3 linked regions of the Macaca fascicularis genome follow. The protein of the gene in region 2 purifies or fractionates together with the protein of the main gene of each other region. This does not show direct contact. Links are inferred from orthologs where the notes say so. Each region holds a gene or a part of one and is shown on either strand. Other genes may lie near its edges. The genes, in order: SIN3A, CHD4 and PARP1.

Region 1 (10,154 bases), on a different chromosome or scaffold from region 2:
TAGGGAAGCCAGTCCTTCAAAGAGCTGTTGGCTCCCCTGCTGAGAGAGGAACCTGCTCTCCCAGACTGCACAAGAGCATTCCTCACATGGGTCACTTGCTCATAAAGCTATTTCAATGAAGCATAAAGTACAGATGAGAAAAGGCAGACACAGCCATACTCCAGCACTGGGAAACCTCTTGGGAACAGAAAAACAGGAGTGCAAATTAAATCCTTTATGAATAATGAAGTAATCTGCATTTGTCAAAGTCCTTTTGTTTAAACATGGATTTGCAACATTGTATTTCACAAATTGCATTAAATCATCTGTACTTACTGCACATGAATCATTTCAACCACTAGCTAGAATAAATCTCATCAGTTGTTAGAGACATTTGGCAACTAGTAGAGGGCACAAGGAATGTTAAAAGAGTTTTGCCTTTAGTTTACTAAAGACTCGTTTATATAAAGTTCGAAAACAGACAAATCTATCTCTAGTGTTAGAAATCAAAAAAGTAGAAAAAGGATTGGTTATCAGAGTACTGGTTATGTTTCGTTTCTTGAATATAGGTACGTCTAGTCTGTAAAAATTCACTGAGCTTCACAATTCTGATTTGTATACTTTTCTATATATATATGCTGAACCTTGTGTGTGTGTGTGTGTGTGTATATATATATATATATATTTTTTTTTTTTTTGGTAGAGATGGGGTCTCACTTATTAACCAGGCTGTTCTCAAACTCCTGGCCTGAAGTGATCCTCCCGCATCGGCCTCCCAAAGTGCTGGGATTACAGGTGTGAGCCACTGCACCCGGCCTATACTTGCATTTCAACAAATAGTTGACTAAAACGAAAAGAGTTACAAAACCAACTATTTGTCACTGACTAATTGGTTACTTGCTAGTCGTGTTTGTGCTGGGGAAAAAATGCTAGGAGCAAAACCGAGTTGTCTCCATTTATCTGAAGTCTGATGAATTCATTAAAAACAGGCGGAACAGGACAATTACTGTTTAAAAGAGGCAACTGGCTTGAGTTTCATCACAGAGTATCACATTGTTTAGGTCCATAGAATAGGTATGGGCTTTAGACTCCAAAATATACCACTGCTATGAAAACTGCTTTTATGCCAGAATGAAGTCTTGAGTCCAAACAAGCTATGGTAAATGTGAGGGTTGGCATTATCAGACAAGACAACATTACGTAAAGCCTCAAACCAGGTTAAGTCCATGGCCAAGCCAGGAATAAGCCATTTTATTTCTAATTTCTACCCAAGTAGATTGAATCACCACAATGAGGTCTAAAATTTATCTTTTTCAAGCTAGGACTAGTCCAGATAAAAGCTTTCAGAACTTCCAGTGTCATTAGCTCCTCAACAGATAGAAGGCTAAGGCCATATCTGGGCTTCCTACATTAGCAACACTTTAAAAAAAAAAAAAAAAAAAGATACACTCCTCAGATTGACTATTTCCTTAAGAGCCCAGAAGAAATCCTTCATGAAAAAGCTTTTGGCTCATAGCTCAAGTACTTAATTTATGAAGTGAACTGGAAGCAGGCAGTACAAAATTACATAAAGCACATGACAGCGTCCTGAACCCTCACTTACTTTCCTTTTCCTGGGTTCTACATCTTTATCCCTGTCCTGCCTGTTCTCCATGTCTCACATCACCTCTTCAGTTCCAGTCTCCTTCGCATAAATTATTTCTACATATTAGGAATGAGCCATAAACCCTACTGGTTAAATGGAAGTCCTGCCCAAAAATATGAGAAAATTCTGTTTTAAGCACTAGGAATTTATGTTCTGTCATGGATTGAAATTGACTGTGACAGTTTAGTCTCTATCTGTACTTTGAAACAGCTGGCAGTAACCCAGAAATCTGCCATTTGACAAATTAACAGCGATACCCCTTTCCCTGGTATGTCCACAACACCAACCACTGACCAAGTGTCCATGATCTAAGCCCTGCATAGGATACTTTGCACAAAGCAACAGCACAAGGCAACTAGCATCTCCATTTTTCAGATAAACAGGTTCAGAGAGTTTAACCAACTACACAGACTCTAAGGCCTGTGCTCTATTAATAAAAGAAGCAGTCCCAAGTCTAGGTAGCTCTAAGGTCCTCAACCTCACACATCCTCTGTAAATCAAAGGTCTCAGCACTCACTAGGTTCTTTGAGACGTAGCTGAATGGCAGGGCTGTCACTCTTGTCTCGCTTTATGCCCAGCACTTCCCGTTCCCATTCTCTCTCTCGGTTTTCTTCTTCAATTTGTCGTTCGGCTTGGGAACAAATCCGTAGCAGCCTCAGGCAGAGAATCTGGTGCAGTCGCATAAAAATATACCAGTTGTTATTGACATAGAAGAGGTTGTATACTTCATCCATTCCTCTTAATTTTTGAGCTGCTGTGTTACTAAACAGTAACTTGGACTTAGGGGGACTGCTCCCAACACCATTGTGCTTCTTAACTGCCCCTGTGGCTTCATCTACATCCATCTCTTCTTCTTCCTCTTCCTCCACATCTGAGAGATCACCTCTTTGGGCAAAGAGCAAATCTGGAATAAAATGATGCATGATTTGTTTTATCTTATACTTGTCCTCCTTCTGAATGCCTGTCTGCCTCTTCACATGGTGGATAATCAGAGCAGCAGCATCTTCCAGTATTTGTTTGTCTTCATACGCAAGTGAGAGGTGTGGGCCAACAGGTACACCAGCATTCTCCTCCGTAGCCTGCTCTTGCCTCTGATGGGACAGAGACACAAAAATATTCTGTGAGGTGTCTACAGCGACAACATGCCTACGAGACCACACCAGCCATACATCCCATTATCAACTACAGTGTCTATGTTTTTCTAATAAAAAACTTAGGACCTGGGGTTGGGAGCGGTGGCTTACACCTATAATCCCAGCACTTTGGTAGGCCGAGGAGGGCGATCACTTGAGGTCAGGAGTTTGAGATTAGCCTGGCCAACATGGTGAAACCCCATCTCTACTAAAAATAACAAAATTAGCTGAACATGGTGGTGGGTGCCTGTAATCCCAGCCTTCGGGATGCTAAGGCAGGAGAATCACTTGAACTCATGAGGCAAAAGTTGCAGTGAGCCGAGATCGTACTGCTGCACTCCAGCCTGGGCAACAGAGTGAGACTCTGTCTCCAAACAAAAAACAAAAACAAAACTTAGGGCCAAACCGTAACAATAATTTTGTCCCTCTTCCAGAAACAAATAGGTAATGACGGAGATGTGGTTTGATGTCAAAATACAGGTACCTTCTATACCCCAATGACTTACAGGGCGAGTGGGACAGAACTGGAGCCATCTTTCTTTTTCTTTTTTTTTTTTTTTGACAGGGTCTCGCTCTGTCACTTAGGCTGGAGTGCAGTGGAACAATCCTGGTTCACTATAACCTCCATCTCTCGGGTTCAAGCCATTCTCATGCTTCAGCCTCCTGCGTAGCTGGGATTACAGAAGTGTGCCACCATGCCAGGCTAATTTTTGTATTTTTGTTAGAGATGAGGTTTCACCATGTCCCCAGGCTGGTTTCGAACTCCTGGCCTCAAGTGATCTGCCCACCTCAGCCTCCCAAAGTGATGGGATTATAGGCGGAAGCCACTGTGCCCCGTGGGACTATCTTTCAAAATTCTGGACTAGTATTTATATAGAGGATATGATATGAGGTCTGTAATTTACTTCTGGGGTGGGGGTACGGAGGGTGACAAAGTAACATCAGCAAAATATGGATTAAGTTTATTTATTTTATTGATTTTGAGACAGAGTCTTGCTCTGTCACCCAGACTACAGTGCAGTGGCATGCTCTCAGCTCATTGCATCCTCTGCCTCCCGGGTTCAAGACATTCTCCCACCTCAGTCTACCAAGTAGCTGGGACTACAGGTGCAACCACCATGCCCGGCTAATTTTTGTATTTTTAGTAGAGACGGGGTTTCATCATGTTGGCAGGGCTGGTCTCTTTAACTCCTGACCTCAGGTGATCCGCCCGCCACGGCCTCCCAAAGTGCTGTGATTACAGGTGTGAGCCACTGTCCCCGGCCTGATTGAGTTCACCTAAGAGCTCATTTTACTATTTTTAAAATTCAGGATCACCCCACTCCAGGAATTCCCAATTGCACTGCATTTATGTTTCTATCCATCTGCTAAAACTGAGCCCATGGAAACCAGAATTGATTGCTTATTCATCTCTGATCCTAGCTCCTAGTACTATTTATAGTTCTAGTAGGCATGCTGAATAAGCAAGGATTACAAAGAGTTTGGTGGTCAATGACAAGTTTTGAAGCTATAGTAAGGAGAGATGGGACTATATGATACAAGGTATTGTTTGAGGGAAACAGGCAGTGGGAGAAGTGGAAAATGGAGGCAGGAGGTATAAGTTGAAACCAGGATAGTAAACTAGGGAACTAGTCAAATAGCTTAGGTATAAAGGTAAAGTTTAGATTTAAAATAGTAGAATGAGGAATAGAAAAGGCTATGACAGCTATAAAGCAGGAATCAACAGGTCTTAGAGAGTCTCACCTGCATTTAACAAAGGTAATTTCCAGAAATCAAAGCTGTGCTAAACATAGACTAGAGTCCACTCACAGATGTAGAAAACCCCAGCTCACCTCATCATAGATACTCTCAATCTCATTGAGTAAGCTCTTAGACCTCAGGACCTTTGTGTCATTCTGTTTAAAGTTGATCCCCTGGTGGTCCAGAGACTTCAAGTAGTATTTCTCATTTTGTTCTCGCCATACTTTGTTAAAGCCTCGCTGAGCTTCTCGCCATTCTTCCTCTTTCATCTTCAACCTAGTGAAGTGGGAAGGGATGGAAACAACATATGGGAATTCAGAGGGTTTAGAAGAAAGAAATTTGCCAGGTTTACTTTCTTTCAAGAAAAGTCAAAGCTATATTAGGTCTGTCAAAATTATTGGCAACTTGGGATGTTATCAAACCAGTCTTGAACTCTGTTTCATGAGGAAATTACTTATCTAAGACTTATTTTGGGGAAATGAGTTATCTCAAAGTCAAATAATTTACCTAGAATGGTTACTTATCAAACAGCATTCCAGGGAATACCTTTGAGATGTAAGTATTCCTTGCAAAAAGAGTTCTTGTTTCTCTGCTGTAGGACTTTGTAAAATGTTCACAATGCTAATAGAAACACAGAAGTCCAAGAGCAGAGAACTTGCACAGTTATGTTCCTCTGGATACAGTCTGGAAAGTTCTGATCAGAACTGATTCTAATAAACCAGAAGAGAACAGGCTAAGACAAAAAAACAGCACTAAAACTGAAGAATAACCTATATTTCAAAAGCCAGAAGTTAAATACTACAGGCAAGAAGAAGAAACCATCAATCTGTGCCAGCTCTTGAGGGGAAGATGAGGGAGGACAAATAAAATCTGGGTATTTGTGAACTGTGCAGCAACTAAGAATTAGTTTTTACCAGATGATACTGAGAGAACCAAGCTCCTAACAAAGGATTTACAGTGTGGTCAATAATGACATGGGGCTGGGCATGGTGTGGCTGGTGCCTGTAATGCTAGCACTTTGAGGAGGCCAAGGCAGGAGGACTGCTTGAGCCCAGGAGTTAGAGGCCAGCCTGGGAAACATAGCAAGACCTTATCTCTATTAAAAAAAAATAAAATAAAAATTAGCTGGGTGTGGTGGTGTACTCCTGTAGTCCCAGCTATTCAGGAGGCTGAGGTGGGAGGATCACCTGAGCCTGGGAAGTTGCGGCTGCAGTAAGCTGTGTTCTTACTACTGCACTCCAGCCTGGGTGAAAGAGAGAGATCTTGTCTCAAACAAACAAACAAACAAAAAAACCACAAAGATGTTAACAACAGTTAGTCCTGAGCGTGGCAGGAACATGGGTGGTAATTATCTTCTTTTCTGTATTTTAAAATACTCCCCCAGGGTTGGGGAGAAAGAGAGGTCTCATGGGACAACCAGGTTGAAAATGAGAGACTTATTTAATGGGACACTGAACCAGTAATGAAGTACACACTAAAGCACTAAGGGCACATTTGCTCAGGTACCTTTTAAGGACAATCGGAACAGCAATGGAGGGATTCTTTCTCAGACCATCAATGATGTCAGCTGCTTTATCAGCATATATCCTCTGGAGTGCTTTTCTATGGATGACTTCTGATGTGCCCCCAAGGGTGTTGTCCAAGCGAAATTTGGCTTGTTCCTCAGCAGACAAGCGGGAAAGCTTCTTCTGTATTGCTTCCAGAACCCGGATTGTTGCCAGATTGGTCTCTAAAACTACATCAAGCTGAAGAGGAAGACAAAGAAGGGTATGCTCAGGACCCAAATCAGAATAGAATAGAGTAGTGATTAGAAAAATAAGGTAGGGAGTCAAACTCCTTGGATTTGAATCCTGGTTCTGCCCTACTAGCTACATAAGACTGTTTCTTTATCAGCAAAATAGGGATAACAGCACCTATTACTCTCACAAGCCTATTTCTGGATTAAATTATACAATCCACATAAAGTATTCAGCGCAATACCTGGCACATAAGAACCACAGGATGAAGCTGGATAAACGGTAGTTATCACCACCACCACCTGCACCATGTGCTTTGCTTAAGACTACTGATCTTAGACCGGAGGAACCTAACAAGAGATGACTTTACTGATACTTTTCCCTGAACTTTCCTGAATTGCTAAGATCCGTTATGAACAAACAATAACAATCAAAACAATACCAAAAGACGGCTCTGTCTTGAGAGTTTTTTTTTTAACTTGAAATATTTAAATATATTCAAATACTAAAATACTCAATAGCCTTGTTCCACATCCAGTAATAATAAGAGCAGTGACTATCATACCCTAAGGAGTTCACTGTTGTATCTGCGGGTAATGATTTAAATTCTTATTGGACTCCTAAATGAACAGTCTACAACCAAATGTTTGCAGAAGTGTTCCCTAAATTTTCTTGTTTTGGAAATGTGGTCATCATTTTGTCAATACTTCTGGCCCCTCTTGCTCTCCAATTACCGACAAAAAATGGACTAACTTCCTGACTCCCTTATGATTGGATAGGGTCATGTAACTAGTTCTGACAAATGAGTTGTTATGAGTTGAGAAGAAGTAATGTTTATCACTTCTAGGCTGGAGCATTTAAAGGTGTGAGATCCTTCTGAGATCTCTTTTCCTCCTAGTGACTAGCAACAATCATAATGGTGGCAATCCCTTGGCCTGAATCCCCAAGTGATTCTGATATGCCAAATCCCCTGCTAAACATCAATGTACATGTAGAATGATTAGAAATTAAACCCATTGGCTTTACAAGTCACTCAGATGTGGGAGCTGTCTGTACTGAAGCATTACTAACCTATCTTAATTGGTAAACATGTTCCTTCAAACTCGCTCATCCCACCAAATCTTAAACACATGCTTACCCCACTTCTTTCATCTTTGCCCTTGTAGTCATAAATGGGAAATGAAGTTGCCTCTCATTTGGAAGCATACCAGTTGAGAGGGGATAGGAACATTCTGTCAAAAACAGATGCCAAGCTCTGCTAACTCATCAGCTAACCTTACTAAACATAAGTAACAAAGAAATGCTTGCTTTTTTTTTTTTGAGACAGATCTCGCTCTGTAGCCCAGGCTGGAGTGCAGTGGCGCAATCTTGGCTCACTGCAAGCTCCGCCTCCCGGGTTCACGCCATTCTCCTGCCTCAGCCTCCTGAGTAGCTGGGACTATAGGCACCCGCCACCGCGCCCGGCTAATTTTTTGTATTTTTAGTAGAGACGGGGTTTCACTGTGGTCTCAATCTCCTGACCTCGTGATCCGCCCGCCTCGGCCTCCCAAAGTGCTGGGATTACAAGCGTGAGCCACCGCGCCCGGCTGAAATGTCTTCTTTAGCTTGATAGCACTCCCTATGGAAGTTAACATCTGTCATGATTTAGTTTTCTGCAAACAGGTGCACTACTTATAAATGCTGGGGCAAAGATGGCCAACCACCTGCCAGTGGCCAGGCAGCATGTGGCTCTTAATTAAAAACACACCAGAAACAGCTGAAGCAAGTGTGAGGATGGAAAGCTCGCAAAGAGCTAAAAGAGTACTTAAAAAAAAAAAAACAAAAACAAAAACAAGATACCTATCCATACAAATAAGCACAGCCAGTCAATTTAATGTAATAGATACACTAAATAGGATACATGTCATTTTACCTCTTTAGACAAACCAGACTTCCCTTTTTTAAAATGATAATGTAAACCAGACATATAAACACATTGGGGATTTTGAGCCCACTTTCAGTAGTCCCCCTCCTGATACAGGTGGTATGGGGCCCTCTACCACCTCATTTATTCACTCCACTCTTCCCTTCCTAACTACTTCAAAATAAAGTTCCTGGGACAGGCGCAGTGGCTCACGCTTGTAATCCCAGCACTTTGGGAGGCCAAGGCAGGTGGGTCACTTGAGGTTAGGCGTTCAAGACTAGCCTGGCCAACATGGTGAAACCCGTCTCCACTAACAATACAAAAAAAATTAGCCGGGTGTAGTGGCATGCACCTGTAGTTCCAGCTACTTGGGAGGCTGAGGCAGGATAATGGCTTAAACTCGTGAGGCAGAGGTTGCAGTGAGCCGAGATCACACCACTGCACTCCAGCCCGGGTGACAGAGCAATACTCTGTCTTAAAAAAAAAAAAAAAAAAAAAAAAAAAAGGCTCTAATTTAACCTTCTTTCAAAAGGAGCCAATTAGGCCAGGTATGGTGGCTCATGTCTGTAATCCCAGCACTTTGGGAGGCCAGGGTGGGATGATCACTTGGGCCCAAGAGTTTGAGACCAGCCTGGGTAATGTAGTAAACACTGTCTCTATAAAAAAACAAAAAATTAGCCGCAGGGGGTGGGAGGCAAGGGGAGGGAGAGCATTAGGACAAATACATAATGCATGTGGGGCTTAAAACCTAGATGACGAGTTGATAGGCACAGCAACCCCCATGGCACATGTATATTTATGTAATAAACCTGTACGTTCTGCACATGTATCCCAGAATTTAAAGTTAAAAAAAAAAAAAAAAATTAGCCAGGCATGGTAGCACATGCCTGTAGTCCCAGTGACTTGGTGGTGGGCAGGGGTGGGGGTCTGAGTGGGAGGGTCATACTTGAGCCTGGAAGGTTGAGGCTGCAATGAACTGTGATTGTGCCACTGCACTGCAGCTTGGGCAACAGAATGAGACCCTGTCTCAAAAAAAACAAAACAAAACAAAGCAATCAATACCAGAAACATGAAAGAAAAATTCCAGTTCTCATAACAGAGCTGGTTTACTAACCATGGCAAGATACTTGCTAAGGGTAATGATACATACAGATCTTAAATAATTTAAAAACAGTTTTAAGAAAGTACTATAAACCTTAGGATGCTGATTTTCTTCACCATGTAAAACACAATAATCTTAAAATGCCATGCAAAATCAAAAGAACTATTATTCAGTCATCAATGGACCATTTCAGTTAAAAGGGCTAGCTAAAGTGGCCTACATAAGTCACATTTGCCATAAAACATGTACTAATATATTTGACCAATGCACAAAGCATGGAAAGTACCACAACAAGCATTTACCACAGAAGAATGTGAGCCTCTGGCTCTTCCATCTTAATACCCCTCAGAGATAGGTATTAAGATAGTCTTTCACTGAGCATCTCCCATATCCCCCAACTTCAAATGCCAAAGAAGCTTGTACCTCAAAGCGCTCATCTTCACAACGATAAATATGTTCTTCATATTGAGTCTTCTTGGAACTCACAAAGGTGGAGTCCTCAGACCACGAAGGGAAGGAAACCCAGGTATCATTTAAAACCTTTGTGTAGAAGAAGAGAGACTGAAACAAAAGCCTAAAACAGCTTTCTGGTGATTAAGCATTCTCAATAAAAAGACAAAACTCTAGCGGAGAAATAGGCAACTAACATTACTTCACAAATTTCACCTTTAGCAAGTTTACAAAAAGGTATTAGTAAGAAAAGCGTTCTGAATATAAGTGGAAATATAATTCCAGTGCTTTGGGAGGATGAAGCGGAAGATCACTTGAGCGCAGGAGTGACCCCATCTTTACAAAACTAAAAACTTCTATTTTTACATTTTTAGCTGGGTGTGAAGGCATGTGTAAGTCCCAGGTACTTGGGAGGATCATTTGAGCCCAGTAGGTTGAGGCGCTTTGAGCACTCCAGCCTGGGTGA
Region 2 (10,154 bases):
AAAAAAAAAAAAATTAGAATCGGTCTATACCTTTTTATTCTCCTCCCTTCTCTTTCTTGGTCTTTTATAGTAAAAAAAAAAAATAGTATGTGAGGAATGTGTGGCTTGTTTTAATGTTTTTCTCTCCCAAATGATGTAGAGGAGTATGAAATGGAAAAATAAAATTTCCTTTTTCTTCTGGTCTTCTGTAAACCACTCAGCTCAGGATTCTTTGAATTGGCGTTGGTTCTGGTGGTCTTTGTCATCTTTTCTCATTCTCCCACCTCAGAACCATCCCCCTTGCTGTGTTTTCCTGATACTTACCTGTGATTTTGTTCTTGAAGGTAATATGTCCAACCTCAGTTTATATGTAAGTGTGTCTGAATGGTCTGACATAGGTCTGCATACTATAGTGTTCAATCAGAAACGACCCTACTAATAGAATGCTCACATTCCTTTCAGTGGCAGTGAATGTAATAGAAGTGATTGACAGGAGGGAGAGCACATGATAAGTGGATCATCCTTGTTGGTGACTACACAAGTATACACATTGTTCTTTGATTAGTGACTGCAGCTACTGTTGACTTCTTTTAAAAATTTTTTAACTTTTATTTTTGATAGTAATTTACATAGCTCAAAATACAGGAAAGGGCAAGATGCGGTGGCTCATGCCTAGAATCCCAGTACTTTGGGAGGCTGAGGCGGGAGGGCAGCTTGAGCCCAGGAGTTGGAGACCAACTTGGGCAACATGGTGAAATTCCGTCTCTAAGTAATAAAAACATTAGCTGAGTGTGGTTGCTCATGCTGTGGTTCTAGCTGTGTGGGAGGATCGCTTAAACCTGGTGGTCGAGGCTGCAGTGAGCCATAATGATGCCACTGTACTCTAGCCTAGACAACACAGCTAGACCCTCTCCCCCCAAAAAAAAAAAGGCCGGGCGCGGTGGCTCATGCCTGTAATCCCAGCACTTTGGGAGGCCGAGACGGGCGGATCACGAGGTCAGGAGATCGAGACCATCCTGGCTAACACGGTGAAACCCCGTCTCTACTAAAAAAAAATACAAAAAACTAGCCGGGCGAGGTGGCGGGCGCCTGTAGTCCCAGCTACTCGGGAGGCTGAGGCAGGAGAATGGCGTGAACCCGGGAGGCGGAGCTTGCAGTGAGCTGAGATCCGGCCACCGCACTCCAGCCTGGGTGACAGAGCGAGACTCCGTCTCAAAAAAAAAAACAAAAACATATATATATTTATATGTACACACACGTATCTCTTTTCTCTTCTGTCCTCTAACAATTTAGTTCCCTTCTTGGGGACAGCTAATGTTTTCAGTTCCTTTTATATCTTTACAAAAATATTTTATGTGTATACAAATTATACATATATTCATACATGTATATGTACACGCACATACATGTACCCAAAAACATTTTTTTCCTTTTAAACACAAAAGTAATACCAATGCGATGTAAATGCCACATTGGTTAGGGAATAATAACAAGAAAAAAGTCTGTACATGTTGAGTACAGACAATTTTGTTTTTTCTCTGAATATTTTCCATCTATGGTTGTTTGAATCCACAGGTGCAGAACCCATGGATACAGAGGGCTGATTGTAATTTATTTAACTAGTTCCATAATGATGGACATTTAGGTTGTTTCTAATGTTATGCTATTAGCAGCTGTTTAATTCCAGTATAAGGGATATGGAATCAGTGAGTGATCCTGAAGTGTCTGAAAAAAATTCACTTTTAGAGGAGTATCAACATTTTTGGGATATAAGAGGCTATATATAATTCTTTTCGCTTTGCAGACAGTTGGTAAGCTTTTATGAAGTTTATGAAGAACAGAAAGGCTTATAGACCTCTTTTCTTCTCTCTTATGAAAATCTTTTACAGTATTTCAGAAGCTTCTCCATTCTGCCTTGCTAAGGCTCTGACCTCTTTTCTTTTTGCTTTTTTCGATTGTATATGCACCAGTGCAAGGGGTTAGAAGAAAGCATTGTCTCTTCATCTTTCCCTGTGATAATGGCTCTATCCCATGTTTTTCTTGAGTTATGCTGATTGCTAATGTATACATAATTATGAGGAGCTATGTACTCTCAATTAAATTTCTTCTAAGTTCGTAGGTCCAAACAGGCACACCAACTATTTAAGAGTCCAGTCATGAAAAGGAGCTAGCAGAGTGGGAACTATGAGGACCAGGGGTAGCTGGTGGTGCTGACTTCAGCACTCCTGAGTCCTGGCCCTCCCTCTGTCCCAGGAGGAAGAGGAGGTAGAACGGGAAATCATTAAACAGGAAGAAAGTGTGGATCCTGACTACTGGGAGAAATTGCTGCGGCACCATTATGAGCAGCAGCAAGAAGATCTAGCCCGAAATCTGGGTAAAGGAAAAAGAATCCGTAAACAGGTCAACTACAATGATGGCTCCCAGGAGGACCGAGGTGTGTGTGGCCGGCCCCGCCCCCCACCCATGGGCCGTTCCACTAGAGCAGTGGGCCCCGCTCATCTGCCCTCTCTCCCTCCAGATTGGCAGGACGACCAGTCCGACAACCAGTCCGATTACTCAGTGGCTTCAGAGGAAGGTGATGAAGACTTTGATGAACGTTCAGAAGGTGAGGGCTGTGCTTTTTTGTTGCTTTTCTAAATATTGCTTTGTTTCATATCCTACCTGTGTCACTCATTCATCTTTTTCTTCCTGCAGCTCCCCGTAGGCCCAGTCGTAAGGGCCTGCGGAATGATAAAGATAAGCCATTGCCTCCTCTGTTGGCCCGTGTCGGTGGGAATATTGAAGTAAGTGCCATGGTATTCTAAGGGTGGGTGAGTGCCAGATATTGGATCTTTGGTGGAGTGCGACCTGCTCCCTCTCACCTGGGTTTCTTCTTCCCCTAGGTACTTGGTTTTAATGCTCGTCAGCGAAAAGCCTTTCTTAACGCAATTATGCGATATGGTATGCCACCGCAGGATGCTTTTACTACCCAGTGGCTTGTAAGAGATCTGCGAGGCAAATCAGAGAAAGAGTTCAAGTGAGTTGAGGGCTGGCGTGGACTGATCTAGAGCAAGGGCTTCTTCTGCTATCTAGCTGGTCATTCCATGGTTCTAGGCCCAGCCGTGCAGGGAAGTGGGCTGTTTCCTCTGTTGAAGTTGGCAGGTGAAGCTGTTAGTAATGTGTTCCTAGCTTCCCTGGAAGAGAACCTGGGTCTTCTTGTGGGGTCTGGAGATCAGCCTTCCAGTGCAGTGGTGGGCTTTACCTCAAGGTGGAGCCATAGTTACTGCCTGTGATAATGCCTCATGAAGGGATGGAAAAAGAATCTTAAGAGTCAGCATGATCCTTGTTTAACTCATTTCTCTACTTCTTTACACAGGGCATATGTCTCTCTCTTTATGCGGCATTTATGTGAGCCGGGGGCAGATGGGGCTGAGACCTTTGCTGATGGTGTCCCTCGAGAAGGCCTGTCTCGCCAGCATGTCCTTACTAGAATTGGTGTTATGTCTTTGATTCGCAAGAAGGTGAGCCCTGAGCCACTTGCCATTGTTAAAAGTTTCTAGGGGGCCAGGCGCAGTGACTCACACCTGTAATCCCAGCACTTTGGGAGGCCGAGGCGGGCGGATCACTTGAGGTCAGGAGTTTGAGACCAGCCTGGCCAACATGGTGAAACCCCGTCTCTACTAAAAATACAAAAATTAGCTGCGTGTGGTGGTGGGCACCTGTAATCCCAGCTACTCAGGAGGCTGAGGCAGGAGAATTGCTTGAACCCAGGAGGCGGAGACTGGAGGGCCAATAGGAAAGGAGCCTGCAGCTGGAATTGGGTCTTCAATTTCTTGTCCCATTGCTACAGGTTCAGGAGTTTGAACATGTTAATGGGCGCTGGAGCATGCCTGAACTGGCTGAGGTAGAGGAAAACAAGAAAATGTCCCAGCCAGGGTCACCCTCCCCAAAGACTCCTACACCCTCCACTCCAGGGGATACGCAGCCCAACACTCCTGCACCTGCCCCACCTGCTGGTAAGTCTGCCTGTCCTATCATTTTCTGTCCCTCTCTTTTTGTCCTGGCCTATTTTTCTGCTCCCCTGTGCTCAGTTCTAACAGGGTAGTCTGGCAGGACACACAGCAATTTCCCTCTCAGTTTAGGAGGGCCGTCCTAAGAATGGGGCTGGCTCTTAAAGGCACGAGAGGACAGTTTAAGATGAGACAAACTGGGAAGAAATGACCTTCTCTCTGATGTAGGACCTTCTTCCTAATTGATTGTCTCTTATTGTTATGCAGAAGATGGGATCAAAATAGAGGAAAATAGCCTCAAAGAAGAAGAGAGCATAGAAGGAGAAAAGGAGGTTAAATCTGTAGCCCCTGAGACTGCCATTGAGGTAAGAGATGGGGGTGACTGAATGCCACACTAAAGACAAATGTATAAGTCCAGTCTTCCTTGTAGTTGCTGGCCTGTCTGCTTCATCTGTTTTGTTTTTGTTTTTTTTTCCTTTGAAGTGTACACAGCCCCCTGCCCCTGCCTCAGAGGATGAAAAGGTCGTTGCTGAACCCCCTGAGGGAGAGGAGAAAGTGGAAAAGGCAGAGGTGAAGGAGAGAACAGAGGAACCTATGGAGACAGAGCCCAAAGGTAAAGGTATCCACGTTTTTTTTTTTGAGACAGTCTCGCACTCTTGCCAGGCTGGCGTGCTGTGGCGCCATCTTGGCTTACTGCAACCTCCACCTCCCAGGTTCAAGCGATTCTCCTGCTTCAGCTTCCCGAGTAGCTGGGATTACAGGCATATGCCATCATGCCCAGCTAATTTTTGTGTTTTTAGTAGAGACAGGGTTTCACCATGTTGGCCAGGCTGGTCTCAATCTCCTGGCCTTGTGATCCGCCCGCCTTGGCCTCCCAAATTGTTAGGATTACAGGCATGAGCCACTGTGCCTGGCCTTTTTTTTTCTTTTTTTCTTTTTTTTTTTTTAAAAAAAGGAGTTTGGGCCGGGCGCGGTGGCTCAAGCCTGTAATCCCAGCACTTTGGGAGGCCGAGGCGGGCGGATCACAAGGTCAGGAGATCGAGACCACAGTGAAACCCCGTCTCTACTAAAAATACAAAAAATTAGCCGGGCGCGGTGGCGGGCGCCTGTAGTCCCAGCTACTCAGGAGGCTGAGGCAGGAGAATGGCGGGAACCCGGGAGGCGGAGCTTGCAGTGAGCCGAGATCGCTCCACTGCACTCCAGCCTGGGCAACAGCGTGAGACTCCGTCTCAAAAAAAAAAAAAAAAAAAAAAGGAGTTTCACTCTTGTTGCCCAAGCTGGAGTGTAATGGCGCGATCTCGGCTCACTGCAACCTCTGCCTCCTGAGTTCAAGCGATTCTCCTGCCTCAACCTCCTGAGTAGCTGGGATTACAGGCATGTGCCACCATGCCTAGCTAATTTTGTATTTTTTAATAGAGGGGGTTTCTCCATATTGGTCAGGCTGGTCTCGAACTCCTGACCTCAGGTGATCCACCTGCCTTGCCCTCTCAAAGTGCTGGGATTATAGGCGTGAGCTACTGTGCCTGGCTGGTGTCCATATTTTTAGGCACTACAGATCCCTGTGTGAACCATGGTCACTCATGAATTTTCACTGGGGCTGTAGAGATATCAGGAGGAAGCGATACACTGAAGAATCCTGCACCCTTGATTTTAGGTGGCAGGTTTTCCTATCTCTTATGACTTTATTTTTTTTTATTTTTTTTTTTGAGATGGAGTCTCACTCTGTCACCCAGGCGGGAGTGCAGTGGCACAATCTCTGCTCACTGCAACTTGCGCCTCCCGGGTTCAAGCGGTTCTCCTGCCTCAGCCTCCGAGTAACTGGGATTACAGGCATGCCACAACCATGCCCAGCTAATCATTTATTTATTTATTTATTTATTTATTGAGATGGTGTCTCACTCTGTCGCCCAGGCAGGAGTGCAGTGGCACGATATTGGCTCACTGCAACCTCCACCTCCTGGGTTCAAGCGATTCTCCTGCCTCAGTCTCCTGAGTAGTTACCATGCCCGGCTTTTTTTTTTTTTTTTTTTTTTTGAGGTGGAGTCTTGCTCTGTCGCCCAGGCTGATGTGCAGTGCAGTGGTATGATCTCGGCTCACTGCAACCTCCACCTCCTGGGTTCAAACAATTCTCCTGCCTCAGCCTCCTGAGTAGCTGGGATTACAGCACGCACCACCATGCCCGGCTAATTTTTGTATTTTAGTAGAGACGGGGTTTTACCATGTCGGCCAGGCTGGTCACAAACTCCTGACCTCGAGATCCACCCACCTCGGCCTCCCAAAGTGTTAGGATTACAGGCGTGAGCCACCATGCCTGGCTAATTTTTGTATTTTTAGTAGAGACGGGGTTTCACCATGTTGGCCAGGCTGGTTTCTAACTCTTGACCTCAGGTGATCCACCCACCTTGGCCTCCCAAAGTGCTGGGATTACAGGCATGAGCCACCACACCTGGCTAATTTTTGTATTTTTAATAGAGATTGGGTTTTCCCATGTTGGCCATGCTGGTCTTGAACTCCTAACCTCAAGTGATCTGCCCGCTACTGTCTCCCAAAATGCTGGGATTACAGGCATGAGCCACTGTGCCCAGCTGACATTACTGTAATCGCAGACATTTAGATGTAGGTCTATCCAGTTGGATAATAGTGTGTAACAGAGGAGAATGTTCTTCCTTTAGGTATATTTTCAATAACATTTCTTCCCCTAGGTGCTGCTGATGTAGAGAAGGTGGAGGAAAAGTCAGCAATAGATCTGACCCCTATTGTGGTAGAAGACAAAGGTGGGTGTTTGGAGAAGTTGATTGTGGTTTAGAAGAACTCTAAAACCGGAAGCAAGGACTGTATCTGCCCTGCCTCCCTGTCCACACTCATCTAGCCATTTTATCCCAAAAGACTGCACCTGTCCCCAGTGGGCCGATGGCACCATTTTCTGGGTCTGAGAGACACCCAGGTGGAGAAGGGGTGGAGGTGGATGGATTCTTGTAGCATACAGTGTTCTGGGTAAGGGCGATGGGTGCTGGGCTTTGGCTGGAACCGACATTTTTCTTCCTTATATTCTGTAGAAGAGAAGAAAGAAGAAGAAGAGAAAAAAGAGGTGATGCTTCAGAATGGAGAGACCCCCAAGGACCTGAATGATGAGAAACAGAAGAAAAATATTAAACAGCGTTTCATGTTCAACATTGCAGATGGTGGTTTTACTGGTATGGAAATGAGGGGCCCACCAGGGTTAGAAGGATCGGATGTGAAATTGGGGTTCTTGTCAGAAACCGTGGTACAGGGACTTTACCTCTGTTCGATGAGGGAATGCCAAACTGATAGTGTACTCCCCTGGGTTCTGTGGAGAAAGCCAGAAGCAAATTATATAAAGATGGATCCAGGGATGGGGGATGGTGGGGGACAAGAATAAGTAGCATTTTCAATTCTCACAGATGTTTGCTTCCCGCCCCCCCTCCCACCTTCCCTAAATTCCTCCTCAGAGTTGCACTCCCTTTGGCAGAATGAAGAGCGGGCAGCCACAGTTACCAAGAAGACTTACGAGATCTGGCATCGACGGCATGACTACTGGCTGCTAGCCGGCATCATAAAGTATCCTTTGCCTGAATCTGGACTGAGGCTTTTGGTTCTGAAGGTCTCTTAGTTTGAGGTTTTTACTTTTCTTGTTTTGTTTTTCCTGAGCACTTTTCCAATAGCCATGGCTATGCCCGGTGGCAAGACATCCAGAATGACCCACGCTATGCCATCCTCAATGAGCCTTTCAAGGGTGAAATGAACCGTGGCAATTTCTTAGAGATCAAGAATAAATTTCTAGCTCGAAGGTTTAAGGTGAGCGGTTGGGGAGGAATATATTGATTGCTTAAGTGCGGAGGGAGTCTGTCCATCCAGTGCACCGTTCTCACTTTCTTCATTCTATGGAAGGCTTTGGTTCCAAGTAACTTACACATTAGGGTTGAAGACACACAGACTTGAAAGTTAACTAACTGTACATGAGCTGTAGGTGACTATGGTCCAATGAGCGACACTAGTGCAGAGGGGTTTGTTTGGGGAACACTGTAGAGTATTCAGGAAAGATACAGAGGTGGGATTGAATTGCATCTCTGAAGAGGTAGAGCTGTATCTATCAGTCAGTGGGCTGCTGTTTTTTTTTTTTTTTTTTTTTTTGAGACAGTCTCTGTCATCCAGGGTGGAATGCAATGATGCAGTCTCTTCTCACTTGCCACCTCTGTGTCCTGGGTTCAAGTGATTCTCCTGCCTCAGCCTCCTGAGTAGCTGGGATTACAGGCGCCCGCCACCACACCCAGCTGTTTTTAGTATTTTTAGTAGAGATGGGGTTTCACCATGTTGCTAGGCTGGTCTCAAACTCCTGACCTCAAGTGATCCACCTGCCTTGGCCACCCAGATTGCTGGGATTACAGGCGTGAGCCACTGTGCCTGGCATCTTTTTCTGGGCTGAAGAGTAGCTGTGTGGGCCAGGCGCAGTGGTTCATGCCTGTAATCCCAGCACTTTGGGAGGATGATGCATGAGAATCGCTTGAAGCTGGGAGGTGGAGATTTCATTGAGCTAAGATTGTGCCATGGCACTCCAGCCTGTGCAACAGAGTGAGACTCTGTCTCAAAAAAAGGAAAAAGAAAAAGACATGTCTGTTGTCTCATACGCTGAGTATAATCGGGGAAGAAATGCACACTAATAAGCCTTCAAGTATTATGTACTAAGCAATGATGTGCCCAGGGATAAAGAGACAAAGTATGGTATCTGTTTTCAAGGAGCTTTCAGTTTCAAGTAGGAGCACATGTGTAATCAAATGAATGCCATTCTGCATATCAGGAGAGAGATTGCTGATTGGCATAAGAAAGTTCTCCAGAATTGCTTGAACCCGGGAGGCGGAGGTTGCAGTGAGCCGAGATCCCACCACTGCACTCCAGTCTGGCAACAGAGCGAGACTCATCTCAAAAAGGAAGAGAAAAGAAAAAGGTCTCAGAGAGGCAGACACAGTGGCTAATCCCAGCATTTTAAAAGAACTGATTGCTTGAGTCCAGGAGTTCGAGACCAGCTTGGGCAACATGGCAAAATGCCACGTCTACAGAAAATACAAAAATTCACCAATTCTCGTGGTGTGCACCTGTAGTTCCAGCTACTCGGGAGGCTGCAGTGAGCCTAGATTGTGCCACTGCGCTCCAGCCTAGGCATTAGAGTAAGACGCTTTTTTTTTTTTTTTTTTTTGAGACAGAGTCTTGATGTGTTGCCAGGCTGGAGTACAGTGGTGTGATCTCTGCTCACTGCAACCTCTGCTTCCTGGGTTCAAGTAATTCTCTTGCCTCAGCCTCTAATTTTTGTATTTTTAGTAGAGACGGGGTTTTAGCAATTTGGCCAGGATGGTCTTGATCTCTTGACCTCGTGATCTGCCCGCCATGGCCTCCCAAAGTGCTGAGATTACAGGCCTGAGCCACTGCGTCATCCGAGACCCTGTCTTTAAAAAAAAAAAAAAAAGTTCTCCAGAGGAATTGGAGTAGGGAGGGAACTCACAAATGGCTTTATGGAGAAGATGGCGTTGGAATAAAGTTTTGAGGAATGCGATGGAGATTTTTTGGTAGGAACAGAAGAGTATCTGAACAAAGGGATTAGGTTGGGCAAAGACATGAGGCAGCAAAGTTTAGTATGTCTGGAAACAGCAAATAGCCCAGTTGAGCTGTAGGGAAACATTTGTGTTGGGTGATGGTTGGGAGGTAGGTTGGAAAGAGAAAGGTAGAAGAGCTAGAGGTCAGTAGGTGGGTTCTTGGCACCAGATAAGAGAGTTTGGACTTTACCCTGTTGTTAATGGGCAGCCACTGAAAGTTTGTGAGCAGAGTTTTGATAGGACCAAGGGAAATGGAAACAGCATTCATAAGATTATAAAACTATCATATAATCATGAGGTGTTAAGGGTCTGGGCTGTGATGCTGGTTGTGGAAAATGAAAAGGGTAAAGATAAAGGAAACAAAACACCAAAGAATTTACTGGACTTAGTGACTTATTGTAGGGGTCAGTAAACCTTTTTACTCTTCCGCAAACCAAAAATGGTTAATAAAACCCACCCCCTTTTTTTGGAGACAGTCTCGCTTTGTTGCCCAGGCTGGAGTGCAGTGGTGACATCTCCCAGCTCACTTGCAACCTCCGTCTCCCGGGTTCAACCAATTCTCCTACCTCAGCCTCCTGAG
Region 3 (10,154 bases), on a different chromosome or scaffold from region 2:
ACTGGAAGTACTGAACTGCATATCACGAGGGTTTAGATTTTTTTTAGTTCAATAAATGGCAAGTGCCTGCCACTTACAAAAGTTTATCATAAAACTAATGAATGGCAACTTTTTCAGTTGTCAGATACATAGTAAACTGCCTATAAACTTGAAGACGTTGGTTACCCTCTCTCTTAAAAGTAAAGGCATCCCTCTGTATCCTCGAGGATTGGTTCCAGGACTCCCTTGTGGTCACTAAAATTCACTCATGCTCAAGTCCTACAGTCCACCCTGCAGAACCCATGGAGGAGAAAAGTTGGCCCTGCACATCTGTGGGTCTCGCATCCTGAGATTTTTTTTGTGGGAGGGGGAATTTTTCTTTTCTTTTTCTTTTTTGAGACAGAGTCTCGCTGTGTCCCCCAGGCTGGAGTGCAGTGGCACAATCTCAGCTCACTGCAACCTCCGCCCCCAGGTTCAAGCGATTCTCATGCCGAGTAGCTGAGGTTACAAGCATGCGCCACCACGCCCAGCTAATTTTTTGTGTTTTTAGTAGAGGTGAGGTTTCACTATGTTGGCCAGACTGGTCTCGAACTCCTGGGTTCAAGTGATCCGCCCACCTCAGCCTCCCAAAGTGCTGGGATTACAGGCATGAGCCACCGCACCTGGCCTGAGAATAATATATTTTTGATCTGAGTTTGGTTGAATTCTCAACTGCAGAGCCCACAGGTGTAGAGAGCTAACTGTATTTATTGAAAACATCTGTGTATAAGTGGACCTGCACACTTCAAATCGATTGTTCAAGGGTCACCTGCGTTGTGGTTTTTATTTTATGTGTCCTTAAGAGTTAGGCAGAGTTTATTGTGCAGTTACTAGGAAGTCATCAGATGGAAACCTTTCATTCATGTTATTTCAACATTCTTCAAGCATCTTTCAAGGTCTCCCAGTCCTGGAACCTTCCAGCTACATCCCGGAGAAGCTGGAGGGTTCCGCTTATGTTTGTGGGTGGATACAGGCTTGGCCTATAGAAAGAAGGAAAGCACACGGGAAACAGAAGTGGGCCTAGGCAGCGGGCTTTCTGGCTGGTGCTGGAGAAAAGGCCCTGAACCGGATCTGTCAACTCCAGTTACAGCTGGCTCTGAGCAGTGAACGTCTCTCCTTATTCCTCACTGACTGAGAACTTGCAAGGCTTTCCTCAGCCCCTGCTTCTTCCCATGCCATAGTCTTCAGGTAGAAGAGCTGGAATAGCATCCTTACCCATTTCCAGAGCCACCTGGGCAGCACAGATGGAAGTTGTACGACTTGGTGAAGTCCATGTTACAGCAAGAAGCAGGCGTGGGGCTTCAGACCTGCTGGGTGCCACTTGATACCCCCTTGACCTTCTTGTGGTCACCTAGGCTGTCTGCCAAATTCCTGGAATCCCAATGGCCCCACTCTTCATCTCTGTGCATTTTTTGCACACCCTTTACATATAGAGCACCAAGTGACACTGGCAGTAAGTGTAAGGGTTGCTTAGCCTTTCTGTGCCTGGCCACTTCAACCTCCGGGTACAGTAAAAACTAATGCCAATGAAGGTCAGTGGAGACAAGGAGCCTGACTGAATTTTATAGCAATGGGCAACTTCCTCCCAACATTTTATTATGAAAATGTTTCAAACATACAAAAAGTTGAAGAAATTTTACAGCAGTAGTCATGAGCCCACCACCTAGATTTTACAGTTAACATTTTGCATAGTTGTGGCGGGGTTTCAGATGTCTGTAACTGCACAGTTCTTTGTACAAATGAAAGTTCATGGGAGAAGCCCATTGTGTTGAGCAGTGCTTTTAGAGGATGGGGGTCCTGTGCTGCTCAGTGGTGTAGCTTTAACAGGAAGGTGGTCTTCTGGTCGTTTCCCATGCATCCTGGCATGTGCACATACCACGCTACTTCTGGACCTGCTGCAGCACCCACCTGCTAGAAGAGAAAGCCTGGCCGGGGGCTCGGAGCTGCTTCGTCAGTCTTGTGTTCCTTCTGTCCCCTCGTCTCCAGGCAGTGTCTCAGGGCAGCAGCGACTCTCAGATCCTGGATCTCTCAAATCGCTTTTACACCCTGATCCCCCATGACTTTGGGATGAAGAAGCCTCCGCTCCTGAACAGTGCAGACAGTGTGCAGGTACACAAGGGTTCAGAAGGGACTGCAGGTCTGCTGGGCGAGGGTGTGACTCCCTTGCAACCGTCCCTCCCCGTCATGATCCCCGAGGGCAGCGCCGATGCTGGGAGGGCCACCTCCTTGCCCTTGTTTTGAAGTTGGGTTTCTACCCACACTGATGGAGGCAGAGCCATTTTTCCTGCCTCTGTTCCACCAAATCCACTGGGGAAAGAGCTGTTGGAGAGGGAGAGCCTCTCCCTCATAACAACGTCTTCCTCCCCATTTTCCCTCTCTGCCTTTTAAGAGAGCTCCTGGCTCAGGAAACATTTGTCTGAAGTACCTTCATTATAGGTCCCAAATGTCAGCTTGTATGAGAGGAAAGACAGTTCTTCCACCTCTCAACTCCCCCAGGCCGCAAGGCCTTGTTAGCATTCCAGGAAGTCCTTAGGAGAGCTCACTGTGTGCAGCAGGTAACAGGCTGGCCCTGACCAGCAGGAAGGTTTGCCCTTCACTGTGTTGAACGTTCTCTGCATGTAGGTTTTCTCTGCCACCTGGGTGAGTCTGTCTCACTCACCATGATACCTAAGTCAGGGGCTTGCTTTTGCTCCTCCAGGCCAAGGTGGAAATGCTTGACAACCTGCTAGACATCGAGGTGGCCTACAGTCTGCTCAGGGGAGGGTCTGATGATAGCAGCAAGGACCCCATCGATGTCAACTATGAGAAGCTCAAAACTGACATTAAGGTAACAGGGTCAGGCCTTCCTCAAACATTTAACCTCATCCTGAGAGCAGCGGTCCCATACTTGCATGTGTGTTAGGATCTCCTGGAAAGCTTGTTAAAACACAGATGGCTGGTGCCCAGTAATTTACTTTTCTAACAAGTTCCCGGACATTGCTGCTGGTGGTCCTTTGAGAACCTCTGGGCATTTCACATGTAGATAATGCACCTTGCTTGCAAGGCAGCCTTCCAAGCCAGCACCTCAGCTTGGCATACAAATTGATTTTTGAGGGTCTTACCAAAAGTTCTTTTTTTTTTCCCCCTCCTTAATCTAGAGAGGAACTCTGTTTTTCTAAACCCTTGTGGTGTGAACTTTTAGAGGGCTTATTACCGATGTCCATTTCAGAAGTGGAAATGCTTGATGGCAGCTCTAATAAAAACACAGTGCTTGGGTTCATTTTTCTCTGGAGCTAAAGTGGCCTGTGTTGGCACACACAGTCTCTGAACACCCTGCTTAGACCAACAGAGGAGGGATTTTTGCCTCAGCTTCTAGATGGCCCTGTCCTTGAGCCTATCTCCACGCTCATGTGCCCCATTGTCCTCAGCCCATTCCCTGCAGTGTTGCAGGGGTTCAGGTGGGCTAGTGTGTTGAGTCTGGTACCAGGTGTTTACATCACTAAAGAAAGAGCCTTTGCTCCTTTCCTAGGACAAAGTGTAGATCTGTGAGTCCAAGCAGGTAAGACGCCACATGTCACTTATTTTGCCCCTAGAGCACCTTCCTGATGGGAAAACTGTGGGGGTGGTTCTTTGTGAAGGGATTCTTATTCTCTGTTTACAATTCTGAAGACTTTTAATTAAAAGACAGTGAGGTAGACCAGCATTCCTAGGTTTTCTGAACTTTGAATATAAATATGAAAATAAAACATAACTAGTCTCATCTATAATACTCAGGTTTACTTAGCATAGATTACGTCAGCTATTTGACAGCTGCTTGTTAGGCTTGTGCACTGAGCCAGGGATAATTTTAATTGCACATCATAGCTGTGACTTCCTCTGGCCCATTGTGTTTTAACTCATGCTGAGCTGGACTCTCTTCCAGGAGCCAGTTGCTTGTTCTGGAAATGCCCTGCTCACTGACAGTGAGCCCCATATTCCAGCTTCCCTGATATCCCAAAACATAGAATTTTAAGACAAAAAGGAACCCTGAGCCCAAGTAGATGAAGAGGAAAGTGGAGCCACTGGCCCAGGATCTGCCCAGCCCACGGGCCTGGGACACAGGCTCTCGGTCATGCCTGGCTTCCTTTGAGGAGTGTGGTGTTGAGCTGTGCATCGACTGAGCCTGAGCATTCCTCCTCTGTAGCTCTCCTGGGGTCTCCTTTGTGCTAATCCCAAGATTCTGTTTACCCAGGTGGTTGGCAGAGATTCTGAAGAAGCCGAGATCATCAGGAAGTATGTTAAGAACACTCATGCAACCACACACAATGCGTATGACTTGGAAGTCATCGATGTAAGAATCCCTTCTTCCCCCACTTTCTTCTGTGTCCTGCCAGCTTTTCCCTGCCCACTCCTCCAACCTGGGCCTGGGTAGAAAAGAGCAGTTTACTTACTTTAAATAATCCAAAGAAGTGACTCATTTGTTCAGCAGAAAAATTAGTAGTCTTTTTTTTTTTTTTTTTTTTTTTTTTGGCATGGAGTCTCACTCTGTCACCCAGGCTGGAGTGCAGTGGTGTAATCCCAGCCCACTGCAACCTTTGCCTCCCGGGTTCAAGTGATTCTCCTGTCTCAGCCTCCAGAGTAGCTGGGATTACAGGCATGCGCCACCACACCTGGCTAATTTTTGTATTTTTAGTAGAGGCAGGGATTCACCATGTTGGCCAGGCTGGTCTTGAACTCCTGACCTCAGGTGATCTGCCTTCCTTGGCCTCCCAAAGTGCTGAGATTATAAAATTAGCATCTTATACAGTAGTTTGGGGATGGCTTTTTATTATGTTTTAAAGGACATTTCCCATCCCCAAACCTGGTCTCAGAACGTACAATTATCAGAGGTCTAAGATAAAGTTCCTCAAGTGCACATCTGCTGCACAGTAATACTAACTAGCAATGGCTGGGCTCTGCTGGGCCAGACCTTGACCTTCCATCCCAGCCTTGTGGAAAACATTTTCTGCATTGCAGCAGACCTTAAGTCTTCTAGCCTTAGGGACAGCCAGTCATTTCTCCTGTGTCCAGTCCTATCTTTCAATCAACCAGAGTAACAAATGGCTTCTTTTGTCCCTCCCTTTGTTTACTACTACAACCAGATCTTTAAGATAGAGCGTGAAGGCGAATGCCAGCGCTACAAGCCCTTTAAGCAGCTTCATAACCGAAGATTGCTGTGGCACGGGTCCAGGACCACCAACTTTGCCGGGATCCTGTCCCAGGGTCTTCGGATAGCCCCGCCTGAAGCACCTGTGGTATGTGCCTGGCCTAGTGAGGGGTGGGCAATACCTGTCTCTGCAGGTGTCTCCATAAAGAACTTTGAGTAAGAGGCCTAGTTGGCTTAGGGGGATGCTGCCAGACATCCTTTCTTTAGGCCTTCACCCTTTTATCCTCCTGACCCTGATCCTGTCAGGAGTTTCAAACACAGTTTCTGGAACAAAGGAGATAGAGCATCCAGGCCAGGGCCTGCTGCAAATGCTAATTGGGTGTGTTGATGAGCAAAGAACAGACACGTGGCTACAGGCCAAGCTGAGTCCAGGCCTACCTCTACCACTTCCCAGCCGGGCCACCTCTTGAGTGTCAGTGTCTTCAGCAGGAAAACGTAGTGATAAATAAGTAAGGCTTTACCCAGACACGAGGGGTCGTGATGCCACCTGCTGGATTCTAGATGGGTCCAGCTGGACAGGGCCTTCCAAGCCTCTAGTTTCACAGTTGTAGAACGAGGAGGAGAGTGGTTTAAATGATGCTCTCTGGTGCTGTGCAGTAGTGTATAATGGGCAAATGGCCTACCCTTTGTGAACCTTGTGTTTCACTTACAAAAGGGAATAAAAATACCAGTCTGCGTTCCTTGGGTGTTGACAGGCACTAGTTTAAGTAACATTGATGAGCTCATTCCATCCTCACAGCAGCTCCATGAGATTATGTTCCCCACTTAAAAGAGGCAAGTAGAGTCCAGAAAGGTTACATAGCTTCTTGCAGCTCCTTGGCACCTGGCAGAGCTAGGATCTGAGCAGCCTGGCTTGTGAGCTAAAACTTTGGTGTTTCCTCAGCATGGGCATTGTGAGAATTAGAAGTGATGGATTGCAGCACTTAGCTGGGTGGCTTGCTCATGTTGGCACTCAGTGAACAGCTGCTCCTAATTTCCCATCAGAAGATTCTCAGCTGTCCCTTTTCCAACCTTCCAGACAGGCTACATGTTTGGTAAAGGGATCTATTTCGCTGACATGGTCTCCAAGAGTGCCAACTACTGCCATACGTCTCAGGGAGACCCAATAGGCTTAATCGTGTTGGGAGAAGTTGCCCTTGGAAACATGTGAGTAAACCTGGCTCTGGGACCGATGGCATTTCATGGGGACAGATGGAATGGGCTATAGGCAGAACTCCCTTTGGCTGGGAGAGTGGAAATTCCCCACTACAGTTACTGGACCTGCCAATTAGGATTCTTTTCTTGTAAATAACAGAATCCAATTCAAGTTAAGGGAACAAGGGAGATACAAGGATACTTCAGGAAATGCAAGGGCAGGAACGCAGCCAGGCCTCCAGAGCTGGCAGTGTCTTCTCTCCACGGACTGGGAAGCAGAGAGATTGAGTTGCACAAAGGATGATCCCCCATGGCCTCCTCCTCCACTCAGCAGTGTTTCAGTTTTCTTAGACCAACCCAAATAGAACTGGAATCTTAATCCCACTTCCAGATTCTCCACAGAGAAAGATCTGATTAGTCCAGCTTGATTTGGACATCCACCCTAGTCCTGTGAACTGTAACCAAAAGCACAGGGTCATGTAAATGGCCAGGGGTCTGGGGACTGTGGAATGTGGACGGAAACCCAGAGCTGCCGTTCACCACTCCATATAGGGCCTTTCCTTGAAAATGGCCCCATAGCAGTGATCGCTGGGCACAGACTATGTTCAGCCGCAACCGCAGCTTCAGGTTCTGGAGCAGTTCCAGAAACTCGGGAGGAAGCCTGAGCAGTTAAGATGGTCTGGGTTTTGTGGGCTTTTATCTCATCTCTATATCTGATCTTATTCTCCTAATCAAACTTGGTTTTGAGAGCACAGTGTGAAAGCCTCTTCTGAGCCCGTCCTCTTTTGAATAGGTATGAACTGAAGCACGCTTCACATATCAGCAAGTTACCCAAGGGGAAGCACAGTGTCAAAGGTAAAGTGTTTCCAAAGCTGCTGCTACAGCCCAAGGCACCCTGGACAGCACAGAACGGGGGGCTTGCTGTCCTGAGAAGGCTGCCTTGTGGCTGGCTGTCAAACAGCTGGAGATTCATTTTATCCTTTTGGGGTGTGTGTGTGGTTGTTGTTGTTTGGGGGTGGTAGTGGTGGTTAATATGCTGCAGCTGACCGTGATTGGAGGTTCGTTTTATTTATTTTTGTAAAAAAAAAAAAAAAAAGGCAAGCTCTATAGCAGGAGGTTCATTTTTAAAAACAGTTCTCTCTCTGTGGCTGCAGCTGGTATCACAGATGCCCCAGGAGAATCTTGGTGCAGGCACCAGTAACCAGGTGCATGGGTTTGGGCTTTAACCTAACTTGTAGCTACAGCATCTTGTAGCCTGGAGCATCTTGCATTGCTAGAATTTGCAGCATATGATTTAGAACTTCCCACTGCCTGGTTGAAGTGGCTGCTTTGGAATTCTGTTAAGCCAAAATGTGACCCTGTATGGAGGGTACTGCCACTGTTCTCATGAAACTCAGTGAAGGTTGATGCCCTGGAAACCTTGATTTATTGCCTTAGTTTTGTATCTGAAGAAAGATAGAGCAGAGCATGTCTTTAAAATAAGCACATGAGACTGGGTGCGGTGGATCACCTGAGGTCAGGAGTTCGAGACCATCCTGGCCAACGTAGTGAAACCCTGTCTCTACTAAAATACAAAAAATTAGCTGGGTATGGTGGCAGGTGCCTGTAATCCCAGCTACTCAGGAGGCTGAGGCACGAGAATTGCTTGAATCCGGGAGGCGGAGGTTGCAGTGAGCTGAGATCATGCTGTTGCACTCCAGCCTGGGCGACAGAGTGAGACTCCATCTCAAAAAGGGAAAAAAAAGGCCACATGGACTCAACATCAAATAGAGCTCATCTCCCTGGAACCTTTGCCACATCTGCTCTCACAGTTCATGTCACTTGTGACTTCTGTTTTTCAGGTTTGGGCAAAACTACCCCTGACCCTTCAGCTAGTATTAGTCTGGATGGTGTAGAGGTTCCTCTTGGGACCGGGATTTCATCTGGTGTGAATGACACCTGTCTACTATATAACGAGTATCCTTTCTTGAGTATGCTGTGTGAGCACAAAGGGATGTTCTCGAGCTACAGAGTCACTTACATGCTGTCAGATTACCCAGGGCAGAGAAGGATTAGAGGCTGTCCTGTAGTCTGTCCCATGGTGACTGTTTCCCTTCCGTGGTCCCTCCCTGTGCATAGCCTGGCTAACAAGGTATGAGCCTTCCCCCAGTTTCCAGAGAATGATCTCCTCTCCTCAGTCTGCCTGAAGAAGACTTAGAGTGACTTTCAGGCTGGCACTGAGCGTCCTGCCAGCCTGGGGGAGATGAGGCACATGTACCCTCTGTTGTATGACCGTTGGCTCCTTAACAAGCTTCCCCTCAGGTACATTGTCTACGATATTGCTCAGGTAAATCTGAAGTATCTGCTGAAACTGAAATTCAATTTTAAGACCTCCCTGTGGTAATTGGGAGAGGTGGCCGACTCACACCCGGTGGCTCTGGTATGAATTCACCTGAAGCGCTTCTGCACCAACTCACCTGGCCAACTAAGTTGCGCATGGATAGTGCCTGTACTAAACCACCTCAGAAAGGATTTTACAGAAACGCGTTAAAGGTTTTCTCCAACTTTTCAAGTCCCTTGTTTTGTGTTGTGTTTGTGGGGAGGGGTTGTTTGGGGGTTGTTTTTGTTTTTTCTTGCCAGGTAGATAAAACTGACATAGAGAAAAGGCTGGAGAGAGATTCTGTTTGCATAGACTAGTCCTGTGGAAAAAACCAAGCTTCGTTAGAACGTCTGCCTTACTGGTTTCCCCAGGGAAGGAAAAATACGTTTCCACTCTCTTTTCTAAGTGTTCGTCTTTAGTTTCGATTTTGGAAAGATGTTAAGCATTTTATTTTTAGTTAAAAATAAAAACTAATTTCATACTATTTAGATTTTCTTTTTTATCTTGCACTTATTGTCCGCTTTTTATTTTGTTTGCCTCTTTGTGAGGGGTGTGGGAAGACCAAAGGAAGGAACGCTAACAATTTCTCATACTTAGAAACAAAAAGAGCTTTCCTTCTCTAGGAATACTTGAACATGGGAGCTCTTGAAATACGTAGTATTAAAAGTTTCATTTGAAATTCTTGACTTTCTTATGGGCACTTTTGTCTTCCAAATTAAAACTCTACTGCCAATATACTTATCCAAGGGCTAATAGTAATACTCGATTAAAAATGCAGATGCCTTCTCTATTTGTGTATTGCGTGTCTGCTCTCATTCTGACTACAGATATGGTTAATCTTCACAGTGCAAGGTCCCAAGAGACTTTGGGGGGATTGTTTCTACCCATATCTGTGAAACTCCAGAACGTGCCAGGCAACAAACAGCATTGCTCAATGGGAATGCCCCACCTAAGGGGCAGAAAAACAAGCACCAGGCATAGGAAGACACTTTTTTTTTTTTTTCCCCTCCAACTTACCAGATGCATTGTGGTGATCAACTCATCCTGCTCTCCGGAGGACTGCCTTTCATACACCACATTGCCTCATACAACTACTCTACATTTGAGAATCATACTTAAAGGTTTACATTTCAATTGCCTGAAAGCCAGGGCCAGTGTCTTATGTCACTTCTGACCTTTTACAGAAGGGGACAAGTGAGGTAGTAGCTCACACCTGTAATCCCAGTGCTTTGGGAGGCTGAGGTGGGAGGATCATTTGAGGCCAGGAGTTCAAGACCAGCACCTTTGACCTGGAGACCCTCTCTCCTGATTATCCAGCAATCCAGGCTCTGGGGCTCCTGGGCTTCTGAGTATTCTGCACTCTGCCTTTTTTTTTTTTTTTTTTTTTTTTTATCAGCACAGAGAAAGGCAATTACCCTCACAGTACCTGATTAAACAAAGTATTTTTAGGTTGGAGTGATTACTTAATGGGTTCCCTGT

What was found.
Region 1: the proteins of CHD4 (region 2) and SIN3A purify together in Homo sapiens (affinity purification with mass spectrometry; 3 studies listed by BioGRID, with this or other methods). This does not show direct contact. The link is inferred for Macaca fascicularis from reciprocal best matches to the Homo sapiens genes CHD4 and SIN3A.
Region 3: the proteins of CHD4 (region 2) and PARP1 purify together in Homo sapiens (affinity purification with mass spectrometry; 4 studies listed by BioGRID and IntAct, with this or other methods). This does not show direct contact. The link is inferred for Macaca fascicularis from reciprocal best matches to the Homo sapiens genes CHD4 and PARP1.

What each region holds. Positions count from the first base shown.
Region 1 is NC_088381.1:52,613,730-52,623,883, forward strand, and holds part of SIN3A (paired amphipathic helix protein Sin3a), read right to left. Parts: intron 9,779-10,154; coding exon 9,662-9,778; intron 6,243-9,661; coding exon 6,004-6,242; intron 4,774-6,003; coding exon 4,590-4,773; intron 2,716-4,589; coding exon 2,142-2,715; intron 1-2,141. UniProt on the Homo sapiens protein: Acts as a transcriptional repressor. Corepressor for REST. Interacts with MXI1 to repress MYC responsive genes and antagonize MYC oncogenic activities. Also interacts with MXD1-MAX heterodimers to repress transcription by tethering SIN3A to DNA.
Region 2 is NC_088385.1:7,497,437-7,507,590, reverse strand, and holds part of CHD4 (chromodomain-helicase-DNA-binding protein 4), read left to right. Parts: intron 1-2,232; coding exon 2,233-2,584; intron 2,585-2,673; coding exon 2,674-2,762; intron 2,763-2,861; coding exon 2,862-2,995; intron 2,996-3,334; coding exon 3,335-3,479; intron 3,480-3,808; coding exon 3,809-3,974; intron 3,975-4,013; exon of another isoform or gene 4,014-4,150; intron 4,151-4,235; coding exon 4,236-4,333; intron 4,334-4,451; coding exon 4,452-4,581; coding exon of another isoform or gene 4,582-4,587; intron 4,588-6,422; exon of another isoform or gene 6,423-6,670; coding exon 6,671-6,742; exon of another isoform or gene 6,743-7,018; intron 7,019-7,024; coding exon 7,025-7,162; intron 7,163-7,248; exon of another isoform or gene 7,249-7,296; intron 7,297-7,438; coding exon 7,439-7,547; intron 7,548-7,651; coding exon 7,652-7,784; intron 7,785-10,154. UniProt on the Homo sapiens protein: ATP-dependent chromatin-remodeling factor that binds and distorts nucleosomal DNA. Acts as a component of the histone deacetylase NuRD complex which participates in the remodeling of chromatin.
Region 3 is NC_088375.1:84,276,730-84,286,883, reverse strand, and holds the end of PARP1 (poly [ADP-ribose] polymerase 1), read left to right. Parts: intron 1-2,004; coding exon 2,005-2,127; intron 2,128-2,716; coding exon 2,717-2,845; intron 2,846-4,228; coding exon 4,229-4,327; intron 4,328-5,117; coding exon 5,118-5,270; intron 5,271-6,200; coding exon 6,201-6,328; intron 6,329-7,109; coding exon 7,110-7,171; intron 7,172-8,157; coding exon 8,158-8,272; intron 8,273-8,617; coding exon 8,618-8,699; 3' UTR 8,700-9,159; downstream 9,160-10,154. UniProt on the Homo sapiens protein: Poly-ADP-ribosyltransferase that mediates poly-ADP-ribosylation of proteins and plays a key role in DNA repair.